Oreochromis niloticus: one gene and its partners. The protein of the gene in region 1 interacts with the protein of each later gene in a biochemical or structural test. Links are inferred from orthologs where the notes say so. Each region holds a gene or a part of one and is shown in the gene's direction. Other genes may lie near its edges. The genes, in order: aurka, nin and otud7b.

The links.
Region 2: of the proteins of aurka (region 1) and nin, one has a biochemical effect on the other in vitro, tested with the Homo sapiens proteins (2 studies listed by BioGRID). The link is inferred for Oreochromis niloticus from reciprocal best matches to the Homo sapiens genes AURKA and NIN.
Region 3: of the proteins of aurka (region 1) and otud7b, one has a biochemical effect on the other in vitro, tested with the Homo sapiens proteins (2 studies listed by BioGRID, with this or other methods). The link is inferred for Oreochromis niloticus from reciprocal best matches to the Homo sapiens genes AURKA and OTUD7B.

Annotation. Positions count from the first base shown.
Region 1 is NC_031970.2:6,631,654-6,641,329, reverse strand, and holds the start of aurka (aurora kinase A), read left to right. Parts: upstream 1-4,238; 5' UTR 4,239-4,585; intron 4,586-5,006; 5' UTR 5,007-5,009; coding exon 5,010-5,072; intron 5,073-6,362; coding exon 6,363-6,702; intron 6,703-6,788; coding exon 6,789-6,831; intron 6,832-6,931; coding exon 6,932-7,123; intron 7,124-9,357; coding exon 9,358-9,496; intron 9,497-9,676. Other genes in the region: prelid3b (PRELI domain containing protein 3B), read left to right, coding at 556-672. UniProt on the Homo sapiens protein: Mitotic serine/threonine kinase that contributes to the regulation of cell cycle progression.
Region 2 is NC_031983.2:21,051,103-21,061,368, forward strand, and holds the start of nin (ninein), read left to right. Parts: upstream 1-5,551; 5' UTR 5,552-5,640; coding exon 5,641-5,670; intron 5,671-6,848; coding exon 6,849-7,061; intron 7,062-7,949; coding exon 7,950-8,043; intron 8,044-8,681; coding exon 8,682-8,854; intron 8,855-10,266. Other genes in the region: monoacylglycerol lipase ABHD12, read right to left, coding at 1-89. UniProt on the Homo sapiens protein: Centrosomal protein required in the positioning and anchorage of the microtubule minus-end in epithelial cells. May also act as a centrosome maturation factor.
Region 3 is NC_031976.2:34,771,179-34,781,476, forward strand, and holds the start of otud7b (OTU domain-containing protein 7B), read left to right. Parts: upstream 1-6,265; 5' UTR 6,266-6,505; intron 6,506-10,298. Other genes in the region: rbm8a (RNA-binding protein 8A), read left to right, coding at 310-376, 885-944, 1,038-1,115, 1,920-2,056, 3,640-3,776, 4,962-5,010. UniProt on the Homo sapiens protein: Negative regulator of the non-canonical NF-kappa-B pathway that acts by mediating deubiquitination of TRAF3, an inhibitor of the NF-kappa-B pathway, thereby acting as a negative regulator of B-cell responses.

The DNA of each region.
Region 1 (9,676 bases):
TATTAAAAGTTCATATTCTTTGAATCACTGAATGACTAAAATGTGATCCCTCCACTTGGATCCACACAGTTTAAAAAACTTTGTCCAAAGTTTGTGGGTTGGATGTCTTTCTCTTTATATAGTACATAATGAGGCCTGGACTTGAATGGTGTTGAAGGAGATAGATGCCAAAAATCGTACGGAATAGATAAAACGGAATAATAAAGATTAGAAGAACAATACTGTGAATGCTTTTCAAGCATTCACACTAATTACATATAGGCAGAAGTGTTTATAGCCATTGCAAATCGCAAGAAAAGAAGGGAGATGATAACTGTTACGTTGGGGCAGTAGCAGCAGATTTGTGGCGTTTCACTTGTACATCCAAAATCCACTTGTGTGGAAAAATCTTTAAAAACTACGAGATGACTAGTCAACAGCTTAACGTTCTCTCCAGACCAGTCGCTGCATGAAGTGGGTTTACGTGTTTCAGGCACGCCGTCTTTTCTGTTCTTGTATTCTACTTGATGCAACTCATTTTCCCGCGGACTAACGTTTCACTTTGTTCTCGAACAGGGCCGTGAAGCCGTGGAGTGGGTTATCAGGCGACTGAATACAGAAATCGAGGAGCTGGCAGCCACAGCACGTGGGACCATACGCACCCCAATGGCTGCTGCGGTCACAGAGAAATGACACCCTACTCTGGTGTTCAGTTGAGTCTCAGATTGGACTGCACAGCAGTACAGCCAGCCTCCTTCTATGATGCTCTGGTCCTGTTTGGTGCTTTGGGGATTTTTGTATTATTTAAGGGTACAATTTAGGCATGTTGTGTACTTTTACCAGTTATGTTCTAAGCCGGAGACTGCTGCCTAAAGGAGGTCTGAGTGTTTTCTAGCGATGCGGCCTGGCGGGACTGCTTTGATAGGGCGCTGAAAAGTTGGTGGCTCACTCAGGGAGATTTAAACACTACTGCCATTTGTATCTTTGAAAAAAGGTGCAATGTGGATGGACTGGAAACACAAGAAATGTGCCAATGCAGACGCTGCTTTTTGTCTTTACAAATGCCTTCTCCAGGTGTGTTTTCATCTGGCAGAAATGTGTCAGAATGCCAGCACATCGTCTCTGGTCTGAGCTTCACGTTTACAGCAGAAGAGTCGGAAAGAAAAACAGTTCATGGTGAGACGTATAGGAGTGACTGTAACAAATGCGTACACTGAGAAATGATGGCTGATATTAGCCATGGAGGTCAAGCGCACCGAATGTCACAAATGCATGCAAGCAGGTCAGATTAAACGGTTTGGGTTATCCACAGTGATCACAGTAAGGTTTATTTGTGTAAGAGAGCCACTTCAACACTGTTTTCCTATGGGACCTCAGTTACAACAACAGACTGTAATAGGTACGAATGAAAGCCTGATACTAAACTGTACTGATGTAATGTAATAACTTATGTTATTGAGGTATTTAAGTTGAAATGAAGGGATCAAAGTACTTGCCATATTTATACTTTTAAAAATGTATAGTAGACCTTCTCAAATGCTGCTTTAATGTAACATAAGCATGAATCTGTTTACTGTGTAGAAACAAGGGTCAGACTTCTTTTTACATACTAAACCTGAGGTTGTTTCAACTGAAGTAGTTTTATCAGCACGTACATAATCCTGTAAGCATGATCACTGAGTGCAGGGGCCGAAAGCTTCACACTTATTACCAGTAAAAGCTGCTACACGTGCTAAGCGAGCATTTTGATAAAACTGTTTCAGTGGATACCCTGTGTTTGAGATAGTCTCATAGTGGGAATCTGTGTGGCGATGGTAAACGCACAACTTTCTGTACATAAGATATTTATTAATATATATATTTTTTTACCTATGCCAGGAATATTTATTTTTGAAAAAAGAACAATTTGGCAGAGTAAACTATGAGTTTGGTTGATTTTTAAAGGCAAAATCACATGTTCACCTTGTAATTTGTTTTCTGAATGGGTTATTGTGTAAAAGATTCTCACCAAATGCAGAATGTGTCAATAAAATATTTGAACCCGTTTTATTTAAGAGCTTTTGTCAGATATTCTTTCTTGTTTTTCAGCTTTAATAAATGTGAAGACGCTCTTGATTGTGTCAAAATAACCTGACCTGATTGTCTTTGATGGTTTCAGTCAAGAGACAGTCACTTATTTTATACATCTGAACTGTCAGCTGGAAGCAATGGTTGTATATTTGAAACACAGAGGGAGTTACCTGACATAAACCAGAAACGCTGCACATTTGACAGGATGCTTGAAGTTCTGACTTCATCATGCAGGCGCCACATGCTGCCACATAGTGGACAAATGTCACAGTTACAATTTCTGTGAAAAAATTAAGGAAATGAAATGTTGCTAATTAAAAAGAATTATTTAAAATGTTTGTGGAAGAGGAAATGATTCATATTTTATATATTTTGGGTGACATATTTATACAGGATTTTTGACATTATAAAAATGCAGAACCCCAAGTCAGACTCATTTATTTTGAACCAGTGTATGAGCAGCTCTGTTACATATCTGGTATGAAAAAGTACACAATAATAAAAAAGCAAATACAGTTCAAAGAAGCATGGGCCTTATGGTAAAGGCCGGCTCAATTTTTTTGATCGATAGATTTTTACATATTATTTTCCAGTATACATTGTTTTCTTGTTGTTGTTCTCCCTTTATAATTTATTACTTTTTATTCTAATTAAGCATATAAATACATAAATAGCATATAAACAGCTCTTCAGTTAAATTTGGAATAAACATAGATAGTTTATTCTCAGTTTTGTCCTTACAAAAGGTGATGCACACCCAAAATGGCATCACCACTGCAGGTGCATGGTGCACTTTGGCGTCACTTTGGCTTGTCTTGCAGACCTGATTACTGCAATAAATCCTATTTAACTTGGGCTGACCTAACTTCACACCCACCACATCTGCATGCCCCTGCTCTTTTATTTACAGATACTTCCAGGGACATGGTGAGATTTCTTTCAATACATTTTCTGGCCAGTTAGCTCCTATTGGTTAGATAGTTAATAGTCACTGAAGTGCAACAGTGATACTGAAGAATGTAAGCTGCCCTTGCACAACCAGTTGCATGAAGAAAATAAAATTCTCATAATCTCTTTGAAAACAGAGAAAATGTCCTTATCGTCTGTGTTTGAGTCATTAGCACAATTCAATAAAACACCACAAATGGGAAAGAAGTTCTTTTTTTAATCCACAAAAATCACAACAGTATCCTATGATTATTCTGAATCTCTTGGAAGCCTGTTTTGTTGGATATATCTGACCCTACTGTACTGATAAAACTGGATTTATCACCACGTAATTAGATTAATTACCCACCAAGAGATGCCCAAAGATATCTTGCAAAAGGAAATCACTTTTCCTTAATTAATATTTACTTCTCCCTGGATGTAGTTTCTCGTATATTAATAATACACATCTTAGCAAAGGTTTGAAGACCATGTAATTAAAAAAATTCCACGTAGTTTTCTAATAAATCATTTGCTGCTTGGTTATATAAGCCTTTAGTTTGTGTAATAATTATCCGTGAGGGTGTCAGAAGTTGTTTTTCTTACATTTTCCAGCCAAAGTTTTAAAACTAGCAAAAACAAAAAGAAACATAAAATAAATAAAAGACTTTATATATAGTTTAGAGTAATTTAGACAACACAAACAAATAAAAGGAGGGCTCTAAACTCGCTTTATAATTTGCTGTTGATTATGAAAATTGCATTTTTTATTTACTTAAGCATTGCATTTATTCCTTATGTGTTGCTGATTTAACTATTTTCTTTTTAAAGAAAATCGTTCAATAACAATAATAATAATAATAATATAAAGACAAATAAATGCGTTTTGTAATTTCTGATCTACTGGGAATCAAAAATAATAAATTTAAAGAGATTTAAAAAGCGATATCATTGATAGTAATAAAAAGAAAGACAATACTATGAAACTATAAATAACTCTTGTTTTTCTGAGTTTATATTTGGGAAGAAACTTTTTTTTCAAGCAGCTGAAGTAATAATAAAGTCATTAAGTGTAATAGCATGTGGTGTGGAAGATTTCCTGTACTGACAGTGTCTGTGGACTGCCCCCTAGTGTTTTGGAAGATTCACTTCGACTTTAGTACGTCACGCTCCACCGGCCGCCGCGTGTAGCCTCAGCCAATGGAGAGTGAGTACTGAGCATTCCCTCAGCCAATAGCAGCCTGTGTTGTATTTAAAGGTTTTAAACCGAGGGCCGTTTGAAATTAAACAAGCAGTCTTCGGAGAGTTAGCCAATCTCAGTCAGTCTCTGTACTGCTACAGCTTTGTGCTTCGACTTTATTGTTTTATTAGCACTCATGTAGTATTTTTTAGACAAAAGAAGTGATACTAAGGTAGACTGGTCGATAAAGACTCGTCGTAACATCTCCGTGGATAGTCCTTATGTTTGTAGCGAGCCACAAACGCCAGCTGTGGTCTACTGGCCGACGTAGCTGTTAGCTAGCCTCCCTTGGAGCTGTTTTCGACCCGTTTATGTTCTAGAAAAATTATCGATTAGCGTTGAATCGGGTCATTGCAATAATATATTTAGGTAAGTGGTTTTATACAACTAGCTTGTTGAAAAAGTTGATGTTTTGGTGTGGATGCAAATTTAACTTTACCTGATCGGCAACAACGTGACGTTGATGGCTACTGTTAATCTTCCTGACAGAATAAACATTGTAAATTGTATATACGTGTTTAAACAGTTATCTCAGACACGAATACAAGAGCGTCTATATCCAAATAGGATTGTTGTTATTGGGTTTTGTTTTTTGTTTTAGTTAGAAGAAATGTCTGTGAAGGTTCTCGGTCATCCAGGTCATCGTAGTCTAAGGAGGTTGGAAGAGACTCTTAGCTAGAAGAAACGTGGCAGACTAAAGAGTTAAACAAACTGCATGTTTTTCTTCATTCCTATCATTTTTTTAACCCTTTCTTTGATTAAAACCTGTCTCCGTTTACTTCTTTATTAGATTATGGACTCTACTGCTATGCACAAGATGCCAAAAGGCACGAAACTTCAAAGGCCTGAAATTAAGGTAACTCATCATAAACCCGGAGCTGGTTGAAAATTTAATTAAATGTGTGTTTTTGTTTTTTAAATATCCTTGATTACTGTGTATGGCATTAGATTTGCGCTTCCAGGCATACCAGTGTCTTTTCTATATGGCTTATTAAGAAGATCTAGTGTATATAGAGACTCGGCATATGCATCACCAAAAATGGAGCTAAGAGAGAATTGACCCACAAAGTTGGATGGGTGAAAAGGACCATGGCCAAAACTAAGCACTTGTATGTGATCATAGGAGTACGATCCACTGATCCCAACTATGGATAGGATTTTAATTGAGGATGGGATTAAAACAGAATTGGTGTTTGTTAATTTAGATAACCTTGTCTTTTGAGGTAAAAGGTAAATGCTGTTGTTAAAACTTGTTTTTTTTTTTTTCAGATTAGGTAACTCACAAAGGTAAACAGATTTCAAGGTTTCAGATTTTTAGAGTTAATCATGCCTTGTTTTCATCCTGACTCCCAGCTGCAGCAGCCTTTTTTTCAGGTGACAGTCTGTCACTATTTCCCTGACTGCAACTGGTCCAAAACGCTGCAGCTTGACTTTTAACTGACATACGCAAGACAGACCACATGTCATTTTTAAGGCGTTGCATGCGTTTGCACCTTCTTGCCTCCATTTAACTTTGGGTACTTCCATCAGATCACTGAGATCTGCTTAGCAGGTTCTCCTAGATTAAAACAGAGCTGATCAGGTTTTTGCTCCTAAATTGTTGAACAAACTGCATCTGCACATCTGGACCCCTCCAGCATTAGACATTTTCAAAACCTGTTTTCATCCTTGGCTTTTAACTCTAATTGGATTACTTTTTCTCAATCCTGCTTTACTCATGTTCTCATTTTTTTTCTTTTTAAAATCTATTTTCTTTTTATTATTTATGTATTTTATCCATCCAGTTATACAGGATGGTAGCCAGCAGTTATTTTTTTAAATGAGCTTATAAATAAACTAAACTGACCATATTGACTACACCACAAAGGGCATTGTTAATCCTGATAATATGAGCAGAATTGGTGACCTTAAATTGGACGTTGGTGAGAGCATATGGTTGTCTCTGTCTCTGTTAGCCATGCGACACACCAGCGACCTGTCCAGGGTGTGCTCAGTGAGAGACTGGGTCGGATAGATGGTTAAGAAAATTAAGAAATCAATTTCAAATTACAATTATTTCAAGGTATATCTAATTTATGATACTTTCAAAAAATAAAAAGCTTGAAGCTTTTTTTTTATTATTGTTGTTTATCTTGTTTGTTTGCAGTCAACCAGTGATGGGCCCAAGCGGATTCCTGTATTGCAGCAGTCACAGCCCATTCAGAAGGCTGTAGTCACACCAACACCGCATCAGCGGGTTCTAGGTGTATCAAATGGACCTCAGCGCATTCAGAGGCCTGTGAGTCATCAGAAACCAGTGTCAAACCTGCCCGTTACTGTCAAGTCCACACACCCTGCTGATCAGAATGTGAACCCCGCTACTCAGAATGTAAATGCAGCAACACAGCTCAAACCCAGCACCCAGCAAAACCAGCCGAAAACGCAAGCTCCTAAACCAAACCTGACCAAACCCCAGTCGGAACCACAAAAGCCAGAGAAGCCACAGGGTAAGTGTAATACTAAACTGGGAAAACAATGGTGTTTGTGTCTGTGTTTTGGGTGCTAAAATGTATCCTCCTCTTTCTTTGTCCAGACAAACCTGCCAAGAACGATCATGCACAAACTTCTACATCAAAGTATGTTTAAGAGTGGTTCTTTGTCTCATCCATATACTTTTATGACAGGTTACAGTTTATGTCGCTCTTGCTGTAACCGTGTGCTGTTCTGCTCACACAGGACACGGTGGAGTCTGGAAAATTTTGACATTGGTCGTCCTTTGGGAAAGGGGAAGTTCGGGAATGTTTACCTGGCCAGGGAGCGACAGACTAAGTTCATCCTGGCCCTGAAGGTGCTCTTCAAAAAGCAACTGGAGAAGGCTGGGGTGGAGCACCAGCTGAGGAGAGAAGTGGAGATCCAGTCTCACCTCAGGTAACATCTGTCGAATTATATTTTACTGTTAATTGTAATTAACTGCTCCCCAGACTCACGTTTCTCAAACTGTGGTGAGTAGACCCACTGCAGGCAAACTACAGATAAGGGAAAAGAGGTGGGGTCAAACTGAAGTGACTGATTATTGTAGGGAAAATGAGTGAAAATGACTTTGATAGTCAGCACAACAGCATTATTCTACTGAAATTATTTTGGGTCCTTGTCTGATTTTTCAAAACGGTCTTGAGTAGGAGTGGGTTTAAAAAATCTATTTTCTGATTCAAAATTATTTTAATATGAATATTGTGATATTGATTCATTAAATCACACTTCCTGCACAGCTCTCTCTGTATACTTCAAGACCAGTTTACCATCAAAAATCTAAATTTTCGGCATTTTCTCCAGTTGTGTACAGCGTTGTTAGCCGCTGTTGTTTTGTTTGTTTTTTTCCCCAAAATTACCTCTGACAATATATTTCTGCTGTTCCTTACCGCAGAAATTTCAGCTTTTACAAATTCTGCCAAATTGCAAAGTTTTTATGTTGATTCAGGGTTTTCATGTTTTTAATGTACTGCGGATATTTTAATATTTGCAGTAGATCACATGTGAAAATGTCCGCTTGTGCTCTGTGCATGCTTTTACGCATGAATTAAGCAAAAGGGACTGCAATCGCCAGGAAGTCGTGTTTTTTCCTTTTTTTTTTTTTTCCCACTAAATGGAGACTTGCAGTTAACATCTAGTTCCAGCAATGGCTTTCTGCTATAAAAAGCCAGGCCAGGAAATTCTCCTTCATATTTTTCTGTTTTATATCATCGGCTACTTTGACACAAAGGCATCTGCTGTGAGGCTTGCACTTCTGATGAAGTCTCACAGGTGTCAGCTTTGTTTTTGTACCTAGATAATTTATACTGAGTTTGTAATTGCAGAGATATTGTCAAGTAATTTGAAATGAAATATTTTTAATTTACATTTTTTAGAGGGTTCTTTTGACAGTACGTATCAAAGATAAATGATCATAATTATATTTCTGACGGAGTCTAAATTGAATTGAATAGAGTGGAGTTGGAACCTTGTGAATCAGAATAGAATCAGTTGTAGAAGTTGGTGACGATACCCAGTCCTGATCTTGAGTCTCATATAAATGGTTTAAAACACAGTCATAGATTCCAGGTCAGAAAAATTAAGCAGATGTAGAAGTACCTAAAAACCCTGCACTCCTGAAGGCCAGCAGACTGTGATGGATGTGGTTGCAAAAAGTCCTTTAGAAGTCTATGGAAAAACAGCTTTCTGACTCCAACTCTTTAAATGCTGCTCCTGAGTTTGTGCACGGGCTCAGGCACTCGTTTTGGGTCATAAAGAATAAAGTCTGTTTGTTTTTTAAGTCTAGGCCACATGTTCCAAAATGGAAGATTATCTGTGGCTTGTGCTCATTGGTTATAGTGGAAGGTGGATATAACTGCATTGAATTAGTTTTATCTATGTGTACCTAATAAACTGAAGCAGTGGAAAATGATTGAAAGCAAATCCCCCCCCCCCCGTAATTGTAATGACTGTAAAATGTGTCTGTGGGGTTCTTGCTTAAAAATTCAGAACTTTCAATGTTGGGAAAATAAAGTATTGAATGGGTCCGTCGCTTTAATGTGGCTCATCACATTGCAAACAAACAGACACTTATGAAAGTGTGTAAATGTGGTTTGTGTTCTGTTTGGCTGTGTTGGTATGCTCCTGCAGCACGGCTGGGAAGACCTGTGTTAGTATGACGATAACTTATCTTTTTGATTATTATATATTTTTTATTTATTTTAATCTGTGGAAATCGGACTCCTCTTCATGTCACTGTCAGACAAATGTTCAGATGCTGTGGGGGTTTCTTCATGTTTATCTAAATGTTAACACTGTAGATCAGTCAGGTTTAAAACCTTTTCCCTCAGAGTGATTGGATTTTGCTTCAGATATTGAGAACATCACAGGCACGCTATGGTTTCTGGATCTGACCAAATCTGATCATCAGACGGCGAGTGTGAGACGCTCTGTGGACTTCCATATGCCTAACTTTTTTAATATGACCACATGGATTCATTTGCAGAAAAATGGCACTAAAATATGCCAACTACACATTCCCTTCAGTAAAATTACCCCCTACCATAGTAATGAATAGCAGTTTAGTTTGGGGAGTCTATACATATTGGAAATGATGATTGTCAAAATATCTAATGGTCCTGATTTTCCTACAGGCATCCGAACATCCTGCGACTCTATGGCTACTTTCACGATGCCTCTCGTGTGTACCTCATTCTGGAGTTTGCACCCAGGGGAGAGCTGTACAGCGAGCTCCAGCGCTGTGGACATTTTCCCGAGGACAGAAGCGCCACGGTAAGCGTGCAGTTAAGACCTTTTCGTCACTCTTGTTGTTCTATAATCCAAAGGAGCTTCCCCAGTTTTACAGAGTGAAAATAACCTTTTATTCGTAGTCCTGTTTCTGGTATGTTGAATGTTCACTAAAAGCATCTCTTCTGTGATGCATGTTGTATGCTTAATATTTGTGTGCCCAAT
Region 2 (10,266 bases), on another chromosome or scaffold:
ATGACTTGGCCCAGTATCCAAGGGAACAGGTATAAAATGACAGGCACCGAGACATAGACAGTTATCAGAAATGAAATAGCTCTCTTCATTTCTGCCACGGGTGAAATTATTTCCACTCCACAGCAACACAATCTGCCCCGCTGTCCAGATCAGGGTATGCGAATTTTCCTCTTTCCAGTGAACTGAATCCGGCAGGGATCTTGTCCTGACAACAAGAGTGTTGTGAAATAAAGTGAAAAGAGGTCAACGTTCTTCTCAGACTAATCGTCTCCTCTGCCGCTCTGCTATTGGTTAATATTTCATGCAGCAAGTCAGTCGTGTAGAAATAAAGTCGATCAAAGTGCAGTGCTCTCCAAAGAAGGCAAAAACTCAATGCCTGTGGACATCTTCCTTTAACTTAAAAAAAAGAAAAGCAAAAAACATGCATAAGGAATATTTAGGGACACAAACTCCCTTACCGCCGATGTAATCAACAAAACAGGAACAAACCCGGCTGATAAGTGGCCGCAAGGAATTGTGGGTATTAAAGTTCTTCGAAATCTACACGTTAGACCAGGGGTCGGCAACATGCGGCTCCGGAGCCGCATGCGGCTCTTTAGTCGTTATACTGCGGCTCCGCGTGGTTTGGGCAAATAAATTAGAAGTATTTAGCTGAAGTGTATTTTATTTATGTTAGTTCTTTTTAACTCGTAGTTCTAAACTGGAAGATTATTGTGATATTGAAATATAAAAATAAAATTATATTCTATTATTTTTTCACGGCTCAAAATTAGAGTCACACTCGCGGAAGCCGGTATACCCGCCGAAACGCCGTGAATTTATCGAGACTTTCAACCCCAGGTAGGCCAGTTATGGATCTTCGGATCCACATTATGTCAGCAGCTGTTCTCCACCGTGAACTATGTTAAAGACAAACATCGTTCACGCCTGACAGATGACAGCTTACAGTCCTGCGTGAACTGACTTCGTATAGCCCCGATTTGCGGACTCTGTGCGCAGAGGTTCAGGAGCAGAAGTCCCATTATAAACAAATCACGGCAGACCCGACGATGTTTCCATGAGCATGCTTTTGAGCATCTCTTTATTGAGCACTTTTCACACACGGTTGCTGTACGCATACAGCCGGCTGTAGCTTTTCAGCTCACAGCACAGCCCGACATACACCAACAACAACAGAACAGCACAGATAGCGCAGACGTTAAGGCGGCGAGGCGTGATTGCGGGTGTTGCTCAGGTGCGTCCGCCTCCCCTGCAGCGGCGCTGCAAACTACGCCCCGCCGCACGCATTAACCAGGTAAAATACATATTTAGGCAGAATTTTGCAAATATCTATTTTTCATTTTTCAGCAGCATAGTGCTTTTTTCCAATTATTTTTTAAGAGTCAGGTCAAGGCTCCAACAGCGCAAAGGCGATATAAGGGAGGCGGCTGACAACAGTTTTTGTTTGCTACATGGATCATTTTCGTTCAGGTTGGTGTCTTTCCTTTTGTTATATTTCTTTAAGAGTTCAAAATGTGTTGATTACATAAATATAATTTAATTTTCTCTGTAGCACTTCATGGATTTCATAAGCAGCACACCTTAGTTGTTCACACAAAGCATATATACAGTGTTATCTTCATTTTAGATGTCAAAAAGTATTTGCGGCTCCCAGTGTTTTCTTTTGCGTGGAAACGGGGTCCAAATGGCTCTTTGGGTGTAAAAGGTTGCAGACCCCTGCGTTAGACGCATAAGTTATTACGTTTCCTTTCAGTGTAAAACATATTAACACAACTAGCTATATATCATAAAAATTCTTAAAACAGAAGAAAAATTAAAGGCAAATTTAAAAATGCAAGTGGCAGATGTTTAAATTATAATGTTTCTTTTCAATGTCAACACTAAGATTATTTTCTTTCATTCAAATTTTTATTGCTCAAAAATAATTTAATGAATTAAGAATGTAAAAAAAATTCATGCTACAGGTGTTAAAGGGATTATGTTTCCTTTTGGTGTAAATATATTAAACATATTAAAACCACTATAAATTTAAAACAATTTCACATTTGTTTAGTTAACTACACCATTTAAGTATATGCATCTTTATTCCACAGTTGTAGCTAGCTCGATATTTAAAATAATTTTAAACCAAGATGAAGCCAATATTGTATTAGATAATGCAATAAATCCACTCCTCCACCTGGACTGAAAGAAAGCTCAGGGTAAAAGTAGATATAAATATGAAAATAATTTTGTTTTCAGGAGTTTAGCAACTGATGCTGATGCTTTCAGGGTTTATGTGAGTTAAATACTGGACATTGATTGGCTTTATATGTTAAGAACTAGAAAAACCCTCAAAACTGAATGTAAGAGCATTGTGATAGGTAATTATTCATCCCTTCATCAATCTGTATCTAAGAAAGCAGGAAGATAAGACAGTTAATGCAATTATTCGATCCCCGGGATTTTTGTAGGAGGGGAAGCGTTTGTCTGGTCATTGCTGGTTGAGCTAATCCCACACTTTTTTTAAATTGCTAGCAAATAAATTAAAAGCCAACAAAGTATCAGAAAACTACTGTTTTCTTGTTTTTCCAATAAACTTAGTTTCACTCTTGGTCATGCATGAACTGATGCTATAAACAGTAGAAATCAGTACAGAGCAGTTGTAGTGAAACTTCACATTTATCCTGTGGTTGTGGACTACGGCATTTCACTGACACACTTATATTGAGGAATGATTCGTGTTCTTGTTTTTGAAACTGCTCTTTGGTAAGATGAAAACCTACTTGGGAGCCATTCTTCTTATGATTGTAGCTTGTAGCCTATGGCTTATGCAGTACTGTCCAAATGTATTGAGAGGCCCCTCATTTCTTTATATTTTGCTAAGTAGTAGTGACTTATTTGCAAACATCCACGAAAACAAAGTGTATAAAGCAAAAACTGAGTTTGTACAACAAGCTTGAAAGTCAATATTTAGTATGAGCACCTTTATTCTGCAACATAGGCTTTCTAAGTTCTTTAAAGGGTCTTCGGGAATGGTTCTCCAGGCTTCTTGAAGGACATTAATTTGTTTTTCTTTGGAAGCTGTCTGGGTTTTGTTCCAATCTCTGCCAAGATGATCCCACACTGCTTCAGTAATGTTGAGGTGCAGGCTCCATGGAGGCCAATCCTGATAGTCTTCCATTGTATATTTTTATTTATAGGTACGTTTTTACTCCACTGATAGTGTGTTTGGGATCATTGTACAGTACAGTAGATGGATCAACTGAAGGGTGGCTGCATCTCTCAGGTCCTGTTTTAGGTCTTTGCTGGATTGATTCCTGTTTCTTACACACAGGAATAAAATATTTTGATTTGTTGCAGATAGTTTTTTTTTTAAGGTCCGCCAGTTTTTTTGTCCTCCACTTGTCCAGTTTCCACAAAATCTTTAAAGTCACACAGTACAGCACGATGAGATATGGCAAGTTTTCAAGTTTGTAATTCACCATACTGGCGCAAAAAATATTTTATTCATATCAATCAGTGTCATCATTAGCATTTTTCATAGATTAAACCAAAGGAATTGTGCTTGCTGCTAGTAGTAAAGCACAACTGGTTCATTTCTTGAGCTAGATGCCCTTTGTGTGTTTGAATGATTCATGGGTAAGTGTTAAGAGGCATAATAAACAAACAAACAAAACACTCATCTGAAAATGAAAATGGTCAGGTACAAGGACTGGACAAAAATAAGTGAAAAAGCGGCCAATGAAGGAAGAAACACTGAAATCCCTTCAGAGAGCAAAGTCTCACTTCCTGGAGGCTAAATATAAACAAATATAGGCCAAACACTCTGAAGTATTTTAAGTAAAGGGTAGAGAATATTTAGATTCGTATTGTTGATTGTGTTGAGTGTGCACATTCAACAAAGCCAGCATAATGTCTTGTGCAACTTTAATCTAATAGCGGTTGTTTGATCCAAAGATGGTTGCATCCAGTTTTGAACTTTGGCTGCTGAGGAAAATCCCCCCCTCTGTGCTTGAATATTGCCTAAAAGATAGCATTGCAACACACATTATTCAAAACAAGACACAGCTATCAGTTTAAAAGACTGTAGTGATTTCGGAGCTGTTTTAGTTTGGTCCACTGGGGGCTGCAGGACTGCGTTGCAGCTTCTTGGTCGGTCACCGCCCCTTCCTCTTACAACCGCTTTTCAAAACCCGCTACAAGCCGGAGGAGGATGATACAGCCGCGGACACAAAGCAGCCAGCAGCAAAACCCTGACAGCTACTTTTTCTGTAATGTTAGGGAACAAAATGCTGCTATCGACAAATTAGCTGCTCGTCAAACTTGCCGGAGCGGAAGGATTACCTGCACTGTAGCGGGAGAAATGTTGTAGTTTAAAGTTTTTTTTAGAGGTGTGTTTAATCAGCAAATTTCACTCGAGGAAGGAGCCAGCTGTCCGCAAAGTTTCGACACTTTGGTGAGTTTATTTTTTCTCAGACATTTCTTTCTTTCTCTTCTCCAGCTCTGGGTACTTAGCTTCTTTCATCCTAAAAAAATGTGTTCCCTCACGTTCCCAAATGAACTAGCGCGGTTAGCATAGCCCATCACTTTCCTTATGACTGGTGAAGCTAACTAAACTACATTACAGTTAGTCTCACAAGTGACTTTAAATCTTTACTTAGATGAAGTCAGGGAAAAGTTAGTGAAGTAAAACACACACGGGAAGCAGCTGACTGCTAACTTTATTCCATTTTGATTTAAATGGCGTTAAGTAAGCGCGCTAATGGAAATAAAATGCAGTTTTGCAGTTTGCATCACCAACAATTGCCCTCACATTTCACCCAAAGTTGTTTAAATGTGACTGAGATGGGTTGTTTGCAGGTTTTCAAAGTTATTCTTTTTCTAAACTTTCTCACATAGGTCTACAGAAAATGGGAACATGGGAATTATCTTTATGTAGTTTCTTTGGACAGAAGGTTTGTATAGAGAGAGAATGTCAAGTCCTCAGAGAAAACAGATTAAAATGTAGTTCCTTCATCTCTAGTTCAATCCTCAAGTTTTTAAGTTTTATCTTTACTGGCTAAAATCTTTTAGTGACACTATGACCAGTGAATGCTGGGATGGTTCTAGGATTTATTTTTTTCCCTCCTAATATGAACTGGTTTTATTCTTAAGCTACAGCAGCTGTCGACCCACAGCCACCTTGAGCCTCTGTGGCCAAGCTTGAGGTGAAGGGCTGCTTGGATAATTGGCTCAGAAATTTGTTTGCAGAAACCTGAATAAGTTCAACAATGCCAGCAAGATGTGCAAAGAGATTTTTGTTTAGTAAGAATCTGTTCAGGAGACATGCATGTAAAATACAGCGGTCCTAAGCAGTTTCCCCAATGCTTGTTTTTGCTTTCTGTTTGTCGCCCTGTTGCTCTGCAAGTTTACCAAACATTAGTTTTCCGTAAGCTGCCATACTGCTGAACCATTATTTTTCTGCATGCCATAAGCTGCTCAAATGTGCAGATGTAGAATAGTGACTTGGCCTTTGTGGACAGCCTATTGTGCGCAGTGAATGGGCACCCCGAGTCTTGATTGTGGGGGGACACCTGGCCAAGCACTTGATGATTTCAGTGAGAGCAGCTGGAAGAGCAAAGGGTCAGGCAGCATATCTATTGTATAGATGAGCCCTGAATGGGGAGTTTCAACTCATTAGACATACTGGTATGTTCTTTATGTTGAATTTGTCTTATGCACATCTATATACATTATGTTAGGACAAACTGAAGTAAGGTGATCAAAATGTATAAAATATTAGAACACAAAGACACCTAAGGAGGGTGGAAAACTATGGTATTTTTGAAATTCAAGAAAAAAAAGTGGACAGTACAAACTAAATAATGCAACAAACCCACAAATCTATTTGGAGTTTATGTAAATAAAAATAGAAACATGTATTCTAACTCTGCTCAGCCCAATTTAAGCTTCACCTTTGGTAAGCTTCATGCGGCTGATCTCAGCTGTTGTGTCTGGAAGTTATGTCATTGCTTATGTTAGTAAGACTCTGTCTTTTTGCTTTGGACCAATGTCAGCTTCTCCTCTTACTTCAATCCCACATTAAAATATTAGCCTTGTAGATAATTCGCCAAGGTTGATTGTCTGCATTGCTATCATTGCTTCAGGGAAACGTGGCTTACAGCTGACTTGAACTCCAGACTTGTATTTTGAGGCGCCGCTCTCTGTCCATTTGCTTCTGTTGTTTTTCAATTAGAGAAATGATGCAACCCAATTGACACAACAAAAACTTGGTCCATGTGTAACTGAATCTGCCAGTCTGGAAATGCTGGCACACTGCTCTGGTCTAACTTTCTCAATTAGTCCCTGGCTGCTCTGTCCACTTGGCTTGGTGCCACTGTGTATTCATTGTTTTCTTGATTAGCTGTTTCAATAGCATATAATCTAAATACTTGTAGATATTAAAAATTAAATTATTTGGTGATCAAAGTGCAATGAATTAAGATTGATTTTTATTTATTAAATGAATTAAAAGAAAGTCATGGTTGTTGCTGGATATCTTCGTGTCTATCAGTTTACCCGTTTGTCTAATCATTGTAATTGGATTACCTAAAGCCTCCACTGCAAATGAGGCTGGAGCAGTGCGTTGAAAGCTCAGTTGCAGGGCAGTGCTCTCAGATGAAGTTGTTGGTAAGAACAGATACTGCTGAGATTGATGAAGCCATCCTGTTTGTGAGTATCTGTTAGCACTGTGACTGAATATGTTAATCCTGTCAAGGTACTTTAATGTCTTGCCTTTATCTTGTCTGTTATTCTCTGGCATATCATCCTCGAGAGGCCCAATAGTTGTAATGGAAAGTATGACATCTCTTTCACTCTTTCTTTAGGGCAGGGTGCTGTCCTGTGGGATGGATGACGGGCAAGAGCAGGACCAGTACGAGGAGCGGCTGAAAGAAGTTTTTAACAGCTTTGACACTAGCGGCTGTGGCTCTCTGTGCACAGAGGAGCTCTCCGACCTCTGTCAGTCGCTGCACCTTAATGATACCGCACCAGCTCTTCTCCAGACTCTGCTCCAGAACCAGGACCGCCTCACTGCCAGGGTGAGTTTATTCCACTGCCGCTAAGCAGCCATTTCATCATAAACAATCGTCATACTGCTAATGTGAAGTCTGAAATTATACATTACCTGCTTGGAAATGAGAGACACACCCCCTTGTTAAAAAGCTGTTATTTATGCAGCAATATTCATTACTAGTGTTGAATACATGCTACAATCCTAGTTTCATGCTGTGTAATGATTTTTGGGCTGTCCCATGTGCACAGAGATTATTTTTCAGATTCTCTGAGTCTTGAGTTTTTTGATGATACTACATGCTGTAGATTATGAGGTATTCAAAGTTTTCCCAATTTTGGATTTGACACCTGGGTCAGCTCCGACCCAGGTGTCAAGACAACAAACTATGTGCTGATCGCACACACTTTTATTTGAGAGAGGGGCCATTTGGAAATGTATTAAAAAAAATTAAGGACAGTGGTTCTGATAGTTCAACCCATAAATAAAGATGAGATGTATCCAAACAGCTTAACTCCACACGCTGGCATGAATGTTTGTTTGTATGTAAGCATGTAGACAGACGGGTGGCTATTGTCTGGCATGTGTGGGTGTTAGTGGGCGGGGTAAATGTTAGCAGAGGGGCCACTGAAATGATTGCTTACTCACGGCATCCAACAATAAAGTCAAAAAGCCCGAAGTATCCCCCTCCCCTCCAACACCATCTAAACCTGGGAGCCGTCAGCCTCCGCAGCACAAAGAAAATCACCATATTCAGGGTTGGCAGCTGCTGATTCTTAAAATGTGACCTTGCTGCTCCTGCTCAAACCCTCCTCCACACGGACACCCAGACTGCACCTCACCCACAGAGAATAGCACCCATTGTAAGGAATTTCATGAACTTTCTGTAAGATGTATTTCTTTAATTCTTTTGCAGGTTGACTTTGAACAGTTCAAGGATGCTCTTATTCTGGTTTTGTCATCATCCATCGAGCCACCTCAGGAAGAACAGGAAGTCCTGCCAAAACCAGGTAAAGTCTTGATGGTTGTGCACAATGTTTTGAAGAAACTTGCCTGCAGCATCGCCTTGAAGGCACAGAGCATGACGTTGTGCCCTTAACTTGAGTTGAAATTAGTTTATCATTCACCTAGTTGTCTGTGTGTATAAGTGGAAAAGCCCCTATGCACAGCCAGAGGACCCAAAGCAAGTCTTTGAAATGACTTGTTATGTTATTACCATGCTACTTATTGTGTAGATGATGACAGATGAGGTTGGATGTAAGTTCAGTTTCTTTACAGATCTGTCATCATTACATTGTGTAAGATCCTTGTTATATATCAACACAAAGAATGGATCTCATCAAAGCAAATACTACATTGTCAATATTTATGCCTGTCAGTGACGCATGATGTATATTGAACCTATGTGGTTCCTGTTAATTTCTCTAAAGGTTGACATTTAGTTCATGGCTGTTTTGCTGAAACAGATGCGGCTTTGAAAAGATCCTAAAGTTACAAGATTTAGAGAAGTTATTTGGAGAAGTACATACTGGAGGCTTTGCTAAATACTAGTCGTCACATTTTTTTTTCCTGTTTTTGTTGTGATAAACTTCTATGCAAATTATTTACTCTGTGCATGATTTGACACTTCCTTGTTATTTTTCCTCAGAGTCTCCTGAGATCAAACCAAAGTTTGTGAAAGGCGGTAAACGTTATGGCCGCCGTTCCACACCAGAGTTAATAGAGCCTATTTCAGACTTGACTGAAACCACACACGTAAAACCAGCCGACGAGGAGGATTTGGAGGACAACTATGACTCAGCTGTTCCCAGGAAACGTGAGGTAAAAGGCTGAGACTGATCGGGTTTTCATCTCGAGTGCCATCCTTATCGCTTCCTGTCCTTGCGTGTTTCCCAGCAGCCACGGGCCAGCATTCAGGCGTTATTCTTAGCTAATCAGCTTAGTGGCATGCAGGGCAGATCCTGAAGTGTAATATAAGCGTTCCAACACAAGATTCACAAGGTCCTATTAGTTGCATAACAAATTAGTACTGTCTGTAAATAACATTGTGAGGATAATTAGTGTTTGATAAGCCTCGAGTAATTAACACCTAACCACAGTGTTTGTGTAACGTCAGACTTCATCAGGCGATTTCTGTGCTGAACGCTGGTCAGTGTGGATTTAGACTTGGCCTTATGTGCTGGCGGCTATGCAGAGGTTTAAGAATAGGTTTTAAAAATGTACATCCTGTGTTTTTGGCACATACTGAAAGGAAAGGGATATGAGACTTGTCACAGAGTTTATAGTATCAGGTCATTTATGGCCGTGAACAGTTGAACGGTGTGGGTGTGTGGTTCCTCTGATCTTCTAGATCTGTTACTTGGTTAATCAGACTCACTTCTGACATGTTTCCACACACAGTCCTTTCTCATAAATAGCATACAGCAGAGATTCTCAGATAGTCCCAGTTATTAATAGCTTACTTAAAATCTGCTCCAAATGATGATACATAGTCAATTAGCAGGTTTTTTAACCCTGTAAAACCTGAACTATGAAATAATTGCCAGAAAATTCACATTTCTGAGTGTTTATTGGACCTTCTGACAAATGTTTGTGAAAATAATGCCTTTAGTATTCAGTTACTTGTGCAGAACTTTGCAAAGCTGGGCTGCAGTAAGAGAAACGCCTCCAAGTGTTCACCAAAACAGTGCAATGGTGTTAAGTTTAAGCTTGGATGGAGATGTTAGTATTCTGTGTATTGTCTCTGACTCCACCCAGAGATGCCTAGCAGCGCAAAAGCAAACACTATTGGAGATGCTGAACTGAAGCGCGTCTTGGCATTGAATAATCTAGCTGTAACAATGCTGAAAGTGTCCAGCGTGGGGACCAGCAGATGGGGCTGGGTCAGGGGGCTCTGCCTCAGAGACTGCAGGCCCGCTGCTTGGGGAGGAGGTTGTAGGCCTGTGTCAGGGAAACAATGAGCTCCGCTACCCCTTCCCTCCTGGATGCCCACACTTCATGTATCAAAACGCCACTTGCAGAATCCCATCTGCTCTTCATTCCCTCACTGCTGGCTTCCCAAACAATAGGTGGGAATTCTGGGGCTGGGTTAGAGCTCGGCGATTAAGTTCTTCACAAGGAAATAATTTTTTTATTTTTTCAAATTGAAAATCATTTATAACCTTTTTTGTAAACCTAGTTGTCAGCAATAACCCCCAATAATTTTAATAATTTTGAGTAAATACTTTCACGAA
Region 3 (10,298 bases), on another chromosome or scaffold:
CCAGGGCGGCTGTGGCTACAATGTAGCTTGCCGTCACCAATGTGTGAATGTGTGTGTGAATGGGTGGATGACTGAATGTAGTGTAAAGCGCCTTGGGGTCCTTAGGGACTAAGTAAAGCGCTATACAAATACAGGCCATTTACCATTTACCTTTAAAAAAATATATATATATATTATTTTCATTTGTATTTGTGTATTTTATTTAATATATTGACTTTTATTTTATACAAACTGGCAACTTCCGCCTACCTCTCAGCGCTTTTTGCGTACGTACGTTACGTTGGTCAGACGCATACACACAGAGACATCATGGCGGACGTGCTGGACCTTCATGAAGCGGGAGGCGAGGACTTTCCTATGGATGAGGATGGTGATGGTAATCATATTATGTTCACTGTTAGTGGAAAATACTTTACTGTCCCCGCGTTCAAATGATGTGTAATTATTGAGGTCCGAATCGCAGCCGCCATGTTCGTAAACGGAACAAAAGCTAGACTGCGTGGTGGCAGGCCCGATCAATGCTAACATGCTAATGCGAGTTAGCGCCGTATAGTTGATTTATTCAGTCGCTCCGTACAAGTTAGCGAGGCTACGGACATAGAGGTCTTTAAAGTTCACCTGTTTCTTTTTGAAGGGGAAATTTACTTGGCCGGTAACTTAACTCTCATTGTGAGGGTTGTTAGCAGCTGCTAACACGCTAATTCGCGGTTAGTGCAGCTAACGGGTAATTGTTTTTGCGGCTCAAACTGGGGGGAGCGGGCATGTTAAACATGTTCCTAGTCAGCTGAATTAAATTGGCGAATTTTGTTCGTTGATAACTTGTAGTCAAGAGAGCATTGCAGCGACGTGCGCTGGCTTTGACTTGTTCATCTTTCATTCATTAGAGAGCATCCACAAGCTGAAAGAGAAAGCCAAGAAGAGGAAAGGAAGAGGCTTCGGTTCAGGTGAGTGACCCCTGGTGTGATGGCGATATTTTACATAGCCTCTCTTACTTTAGCTATGCAGTACAGTAAGTGTTTCTTTGTCGATATTTCCAGAGGAGGGAGCCCGGTCCAGAACCAAAGAGGACTATGATACTGTGGAACAAGATGGGGATGAGCCAGGCCCTCAGAGATGTGAGTAAAGAAACGGTTTAACAAAGGATTATGTCACGAACTTGAAACGGCAGGCTGTGGCTTTGCTGTGATATAGCAGAAAGTACCAGTGGTTTTCTGGGTAATCTTACATCATTTGCTGTTGATGTGATAATCACTACTGGGTAGAACATGTTAGAACTTATTTAAATACATGTTCTTAATTGTCATTGTCTTAATACTTAAGCACAAAAATAATTTGTGTGTTTGTCCTCATTACAATTGTGTGGTGCAATTTCTCATAATTGTCAATTTATAAACCTTTCACTACAGCACCACAGGCTGTGTTACAGAGTAATGCAAAAGTAAAATGATGAAATAACTTGTGATTAGTAAAGTAATGCATTACTTTTCTAAAAGTAACCGGTAAGACAATGCTGCTGCTTTTTTGAGTTACAACTCCAATGCTTGTAATGATAAGTTTGGTCAATAGTATAAAGTCCAAGCTACATGTGTGAATAGAAATCTCAGAGTTAATCAACAGCAAAAGAAGGATTACGCTGGTACCATTAAAATCCATTCAGATTTACAAAAAAGCAGACTTGCTTCCAAAAAAGTGTCACTTCTGTTATTTATTGACTTAATATCAAAGCAAAGCTTTTTATTTTACATTAAATGCTTTATTGCAACGTAGCACCTTTGGCATCACACTGTCAACAACTAGTTTTTATTTATGACTCAAATACAGCGCTTTTTTTTTGTTTGTTTGTTTTTTGTCTTTTTTAAGCTGATACACTTGAAAGTGGTACTTGATTCATTACATGCTGATTCCTTTCCTTGCTGCAGCTGTGGAGGGCTGGATCCTCTTTGTGACGGGTGTACATGAGGAGGCCACAGAGGAGGACATCCATGACAAGTTTTCAGAGTTTGGAGAAATCAAAAACCTCCATCTCAACCTTGATCGCAGAACAGGTTACCTTAAGGTAAAAAAATACAACAACAAAAACCACATACTATTATTGTGTGGGTTTTTTGTGTGCGTGCGTGAGCTGATAACCCTGGCTTAGTACAGGTTCGCTGTCTGGTGATACCTGATTCTAGCCCGCTACTTGGAGTTGAACCTCAGTGTGGTTTGCAGCTATACTTTGAGGAATGGGAGGCGTGGGGTTGTTCCGTAGATCTTTCAGACAGGCTGATTGTACACCCCAAACAACGCTTCTGTTAAACTGTTAAATTGGCTCTTTTTGTTTTGTTTGACTGGCTTTTACATCCAATTGTGTTTGAGTGGGGGAAAAAATGGCTTGTTGAAAACATTGCTTCATTCTGGGGTAAAGGTGGTTTGAGCCCAGACAGATCACTGTTGCCTTCCAGCTGCATACACAACACCTGGCTGCATAACATGTTTGTTTGACCCTTAATGATGACACCACGATGCCATCCATGAAGAATAAACTCAGAAGCCAGAGCCAAGACCATCCACCGAGTCACACTTTAACTGATTTCATACAAAGAGAAGTGCCAGTGTCAAGTTAGTTACCAAAAAAGTAACCAACATTTCTCTGACTTGTTCTAATTATCGCTAAACTAAACCCTAAATCCAAATATTTTTAATACTGCAAATGTCCTTAATTTCTGTAAAGGATTATGTTTTGGTTTAACAATCCCATACTGTTCCTCTGTTCATGTGAAAAATGGAATTATTGGTAACCTGCTTGCTGGTTTTCTGATCAGATTGTTCTCATTTTTAACATGTGATGTGGATCAAACTGGAAATTTTACACACGACGTCAAATTTTTACCAAAAGCACATTTCATTGTCCTTTTAGTGTTTTGTTGTTGTGCGCTGTCTGTTTTTTATGATCCCATAAGTCAGTTTAACAGTGGCTTGTGACACTATTTTATAGTTAGGTCAACTTAACCAAATTCAAATCAGGAATATACAGATATTACACATTTGTTTGTTTTTATTCCACACAAATGGTAAAGTAGAGCAAGTTTGTTTCTGCAGCCAAACTGAAACAACTGCATGAATGCAAAGGAACAGCTATTTGTAGAGTCCTCATCCCACCATTGTCATTGTATTTCAGCTGTGTATAACACTTATTCCATGCGGGAAAAACACTTGTGCAGAGGATGCATCTGATCATCTTTGATTATAGCTCCTTCAGCATGCCTCTTCTCTCTTTTCCAGTTGCATTTCAGGGATGCAGACATCCTTCAGTAAGGCGTGCTGAAATAAAATTTAGTGGGGGCACAGTCAAGTCTAACGATGGGGAACTAGGTGAGGGCAAGGAGGTGCAAATTAAAACTGTTCCTTTTAAATATAGAAACACATCCTCTTTTCTACCACAAGGTGGCAGCATTGTTTTTATGTAAAGTAGGACCAAAGGAAATTCTACCTCTGTCAGCTAAGAATGGGGAACGTAAAAAGTTTTCCTTACAGGCAGTTTGAAGCAAAAACAGATTGTTGTACAACAAAGTCAGAATGTGTTTTTCCCAATAACTGAAGTATTTGGTTTACTGTGTACATAAATATGCAATAATTCACACAGTCTTCTGTCCCCAGGGTTATGCACTGGTTGAGTATGAGACGTACAAAGAGGCTCAAGCAGCCATGGAAGGGCTCAACGGTCAGGACATGATGGGCCAGCCTATCAGTGTAGACTGGTGTTTTGTCAGAGGGCCTCCCAAGAACAAGAGAAGGTGAGGGTTGTGTCTTCATCCATCTTGGAGCAGAAACAAGCTCGATGATATTCGAAAAATGTACAGAAACATACTCTGTACATTCATTTCAGTAGGATTTTGTCATCATAAGTGATCTTTTTTTTTTCCCCCTCTTACCACGCAGCCACCCACTACTGATGACATGACTACTTAAGTTTTGTAGATAAGATACAATTTACTTTAAATGTCTGTGTGGCAGATGACAAAACATTAAACACAGCTCAGAAATAAGTAGCCTAAAGTCCAATTGTTAAAAACAAACATGGAAAACAATATCCAAAACACAGTGGTTCAATAAAGTTAAAAAAACAAAAAATGAAGGGACTCAATAATTTAAAAAAGAACCCCCCCCCCCCCCAATGAATACAGAATAAAGATCTACCACAAAGAAAGAAAGCGTGAGATAAAAGCTAATCAAAAAGGTACTGGCTGAAGCAAATGCTCATTATGCCAACCCTTTTAACAAAAGATCATTTAGGAAGCAGCTCATTTACATAGGCAAAAGAGTAAAACACAACGAACAAAAAACAAAAAAAACTTTCCATCTTAGATAAGTAAGTAAATTAAATTTCATAATAATAATTATTGTAATAATTTGATAATCCACACAAAACAACCAGGAGTTTCAGTATTATTATTAATATTGCTCTTCTTCATTCTTGATTTATATATTTTCTAATACTCTAGTTTTAAACATGTTTTTAAACAAGAAAAATAAACTACACCTTTTTAAGTCACTGTTACAGCTATTCCACAAGTTACTATAAATATACTTTATTTATGCTGTAGTTAATGTTAAAGCAGGTAAAACATAAAACACAGCTTAATAGCTTAATAAATAAATTACAACAATAAAATTAGACAAAAACGGGTCAATTGAATACAATAAGTAGAAATCTGAACCTTGAATAAATTGTAATCTAAAAATACAATAAAGGTATGGAGTTAAAAATTTAAATAAAATAAACTCTATATAAAGTCTATAAAGATTTGACTACAATAAATATTATATTCACCTTGTTGTTATTGATCCTTTTTTTTTTTCATTTTACCACCCATATTGTCAGTGTAGGTATTTAAGTGAAACTCGATGATTTTTGAATTGATTTCTTTATTTATTTTTTTAAGATTTTCCTTTTTGATTTAATGTGTGTTTTGTTTTAGGGCTGGTGGACGGAGGCGCAGCAGAAGTCCAGACAGGAGGCGGCGTTGAATGGAGGAAGTCATCACTTTGATAACCAGTTAATAGGCTTCTAATGCCTTCCTACGAAGCAACTTTTGGAGTTTTTGTACAATATTTTCAGTAAACGTTGTGTAGCTGGGTAATTGGATCTAACAGAGAATTTGTGCTTTTACTTTCAGACAGACATGTACATGTTTATGGTTTTCATGAATCCCTCACAGTTCTTTCTGTTTGCTCATTGTAACTTGGATTTTATTTTATATAACCTAAGGAAAATTAAAATTTTTAAAATGTAAACCTATGATTTGTTTGTCTTTTTGTCTTTAAAATAACAGTTTACAGAGAAATCAGCATAACAGCTCATTTTGCATGAAATTATAGCATATATAGACATCATATACATATGAAGAATGTAGAAAAGAACATTTAGGATTTGCACATATAATACTTTCTGAATGAGAATGGGAAATGATAATGCATAGGTTATCTTTACTTTCAAAATAAGTTAAATTTACCTTTAATGTTAATTAGGTGTGTAACTTAGTGAAAAAGTTACCTCTTATTTCTTTATATTTATTCAAGGGTTTGGGGGGGGACATTGGCTCCTTTTCTTTCATTCAGTTGCAGTTCAGTCCTTGTACCTGACCATTTTCAGAGGAAGCCACTAAACACTCCCCCATGAATCATTAAAGCGCAAGGAAGAGCTTTAAATGTCTTTTAAGAAACCTGGTGGGCTATTCCCTAAAACATCTTAACGAAACACTAAGTTTGTCTTTCATGAGTATTTATTTTTTAAAACCACAAAAAACGTTTTGCATGCGAAAATTGACATTAATGGTCATGAAAAGTACTGAGACCTATAAAAAAAAAAAAACTTAAGCTGTGAGTAATATTAACCATGCTAAATGTACACGTTTTGTCACAACTTATTAGTGTTTGTACAATTCCAGAAAGGATGGATTACGCTCAGACGTGTACCCTGCTGCGTTTTATTTAGCATCGCTAATGACGTAGGGTTTACATCATCCTGGATGACCTCATCCCGGCCACGGTGACGCCCCAGCTATTTTGTTAACTCCAAAGCACCTGTCACTCTGGCCTGAGTGCCGCACTGACATTGGCTGCTGACACGAAAAACCACCGGCCTCTCATTTTCTTGCAGCCAATTGGCAGGCGGATGTTTGGCGTTCTCATTTGGTGTTTACTCTAATGGGGAACGTCAGTCAAAATGTTCTAGCCCGACCATTGGTTTTCATAAACGTCAATAAAAGAAAACTCCCGCCTCTGATTGGCCGAGTCCTCTCGGGGGCCGTCTGAAACCTTTGGTTGACGTTGTTGTTGTAAGTGGTGGAGAAATTACTTTGTCGCTGGTGGTCCGGTTTGGGATTTTACGCACCGTTCTCCATATGAGGACACTAAAAAGTTAGAAGTCGTTGGTACTGGAAACGTATTTGCTACTTACAAGTTGGCACTTGCTGGAAAACTGAATGGGACGATGAAAACAACATCTGCGAGGCCGCTAAAGGTAAGCAGTAGAGGGATACTCCAGCTCCTAGCGTTAACGTAAGCTACCGTTAGCTTGCTGCTGATTAGCCAGGCTTGAAGTAGCCACTTGCTAGCCAAATGTAACGGTTCGTTCTAATAACTGAAAAAAATGTACAGGACTTCTTTATGGTGAGCATTCATGCACATGTCTGGCAGACTTTAAATGGACGATTATAATTACTAATGGGTGCAAATAAAGTTAGTGGGATATGTGTGAACGGTGCATGAACCTCATGCGTTTGAACGTCTCAAATGCGTTTATGTAAGCATGTTTATTGTTCCCTGATATTTTTTCTTCAAAGAATAGTTCTAGCCATTAAAAGCTGGCTCCGAGTCAGCAGTGGGGACAAGCCATCATCGTGTGTAGCGTTAGGATTCAGCGGAGAGCAGAACTGGTTTCTGAATACTGCCTTAGCTTTATAAGCTGTCAGCTAAGCAGTGTGAACACTGATATCAATTTCAGCTGATCTCTTTAGTAGTTGTGCATCTGCCTGTGGAAGTAAGTTAAATCATCATCTCGTTTTTTCTGGGAGCTTCTAGTCACGATCCAGCTTATCGGAGTCCGCCTTTTATTTAAGGTGCATGTGTGATGTAACATTGACTTAAAAGACCAGCTCACAGAAATTACCAGAGCCAGCTCTTCACACAACTCAATTTCTAACCAAAACAAGTGGTTTTATTGAGTCTGAATAAGCATCTAACTCGGTGTGAGACTCCTGCCTGAGCTGACGGGTCACAGGGTTCACTGCTTTTTACTCATTCTGAAACTAGAACTAGGTTTATTTGCCATATTTTTCTCTACATCACCACAGCGAGAAAGTATTAGGTTGCACTCTGCCTTGAATTATTTAGGTCTTGTAGTTGTGGACTCCTTTGTTTGCCGGGACACCAGGACAGACAGCCTACATGAAAAGTAGGACAGAGGTAGAAGTTCTTCAGTGTATTTGGCCTACAGCAGGGGTGTCAAAACTCATTTTAGTGAACAGGGCATATGTACAGCTCACTTTGATCCTAAGTTTGTTTGACGTATAAAACCACTGGATAATATCCTTTATATACACAAAATGTCTTTGTGTGAAGAAGTATAGGTACCTAGGAAAAACATTTGCATTTAATGAGCTATTTAAATAACAAATGATAAGTAGTCAATGATCTCTTAGGCAAAAGGAGTGCAATTAAAACCAGTATTTCCACATTTCATCACTCTATTGGTGTTACATGTATATTAAAATAGTATAATATAGTGGCTATTTAAAGGCACATGACCTTCACACATGTATTTTGGATCTCGACAACAACAGTATTTTACTTCTGTCTGTAAAAGCGGAGAGAATTGCAAGTGTCTTCTCTGAAATTTGCACGCTTTGCAGAGCCATCCAGAAGGCCAGGCTGGGTGTGCTTTGACTGCTGATTTTGATTAAAAACAAAACACACACATAATAAACACACAGCAGTGAAGAGGAAGCTCGTTGAGAAGTTAGGTATGGTGTAGTAGGAAAAAAACACATTCAGCCCTCCACCCATACTCACTGTTTCCAGTGGCTGTGAAGGATGATGCTTGAAGTGTAGGACACACAAGCAACTGCTGATCAGTACCAGTGTGGAAAATTGAATGAAACTACCAGCGCACTTTGACTGTAATATTTGTCTTTTCTGCTAGTGACTTTTGCAGCTCGATAACTCTGAGCTATGATCAGTACGTTCCAGCATAGTCTCGTGGCAGTTTGTGACATGATCACAACTTTCAGTGTGTTAAGATATTAAAATTGATCAAATTATTTTCATGTCCCTGAATTTTCAAGTTTCCATATGTACTGATTTGTGTCTATATACACAAAGTAAATATTTTTCACCTCTAAAGGGTGCAAGAAGTCTACATTTAGAGACGGGAGGGGTTGGTGGTGCTGTGAATCATTAGGATGGTTACAATTCAACAGCATTATTTTGATTATTCAAACTGCTTAATTAAAAAAACAAAATCAGAATTAAACTACAGTGGTTGTCACTTCTTTTTAGCTTAGTTTTCTTGGTTGTCAGCATGACTATGCTGGACAACTTACGAGCTGTAGACATGAATCCTCCTTCCTGTTTAAATGCGTCACTCTCAAAGCTTTGCTAACCATCACTATGAAAGTAGCCCAATTTTTGGCCATGAATGTGGAAAAATAGATTTTCTTCTCAACACTGTTCTTCTTTTGATAAAGAAGAACAGTGTTTAACAGTTAAACACGCGTTTATGTGACCAGTTGCAAAAGCAGCACTGTATTAAAGTTGGTGAGGATTTTAATCAGCAGGCCAGAAATGACCCAGTTATTATATTAAGGATCGTATGTAGGGATGAGAGTTGCATGAACTGTAATTTAAACTGAACTGAATAAACAGAGTATATAAATGTGAAGTGAAACAAACCTGCCACAGTCTGGCAGAGATTTTTTTTTTTTCAATTTTGTTTTTTTGTTACGCAGTTTAAAACGTAAAGAAAGAGAAAGTGTTGAAAATATAGATTATAAACTTAAAGGTGAGCATTTTAATTGTTGCCTTCTTAGTGTTTTAAAACTGGGCGTGATGTACGAGGATGGATCTGAATAAATTATGCCAAGAAGTTGTTAGATAATGTCCTAAATGATCCTTCTTTTTTTTCTAACAATGTCTGTAATTTGAAGAAAACAACTTTGTTTTATTCAGGATGACATGAATCACAGGGATTCATATATTGCTGCATTGGTCAACTAATATGAATGCAATGAAGGGAACATTTAATCAACATTTTAAACATTTTTATTTTCATAGGCTCAGTCAGTGAAGTTTTTGACCGCACCTCATATTTGCACCCATTATCTCACTGTTGGTAATTAAAGTGATAAAGCTGCCCATCAGTTCATGGTGGCAACTATTTTCATACCACGATGCTCAGTTTTTCTGAGGGTGTGTGTCAGGTTTCATTATACAAGTCCTCAACACTTGAAGGAACATATTATATTGATGCATACAGCAGCAGAGAGAGCACCTCAGGCGAGTATTTTAAGAGGGGTGTAGCATCCTTCTGACTGCAAGTCAGTTTCCAAACTGGCAGGGTGTAAAAGTAAAAAAAAAAAAAAAAAAAAAATGAAGACTGAAAACAAAAAGTGCTCTGCTGCTTTGTGAATATGTGGATTATAGGCGCACGTATACAGTCTATTAAATTGCCTTCTCAGTGCACTAAACAGGCAGTAGCTCAGCCTGCATCCAGTGGAACGGAACAAAACAAACATTACTGAGTTATTGCTCTTTGATTTTCCTCGAACCATTTGAATTTGGTTGATCCAAATTTAAATATGTGGCTTGTAATCTACAGTGTATCATATGCATCAGATCTCTTAACAGGATTCAAATGTTATGTGGTTGGAAGTTCATAGTAGCCTCGGGTTACAGTGACACTGATGGTGATGGTGCCCACTCAAGAGGTTTTGTTCTGGAAGGGAAATCACCAAGACTGTGGCTAAAATGTTTTTAATCGCTACTTTTTTCTAAAGTTGGTTTTAGTTTTGCTAACTTTAAAACACATTTTGCTTTATCAAAAAATAACAGGACAATGCATACATTTATATCACCCAAAGACTTTTTACCATAACTCAGTACAAAGCAGTTGCGCTTACTTTCATATTAACAAAGGCTTTGTTTGAGCCAGCGTGCTAAACTGTATTTCACTAAAATTTAGTTTGCAAGCTCTTTTGTAATCGTTCATTAACAATAAAACTGTGTGGAGTGGGCCATGAGCTTTTTCACCTTCTGAA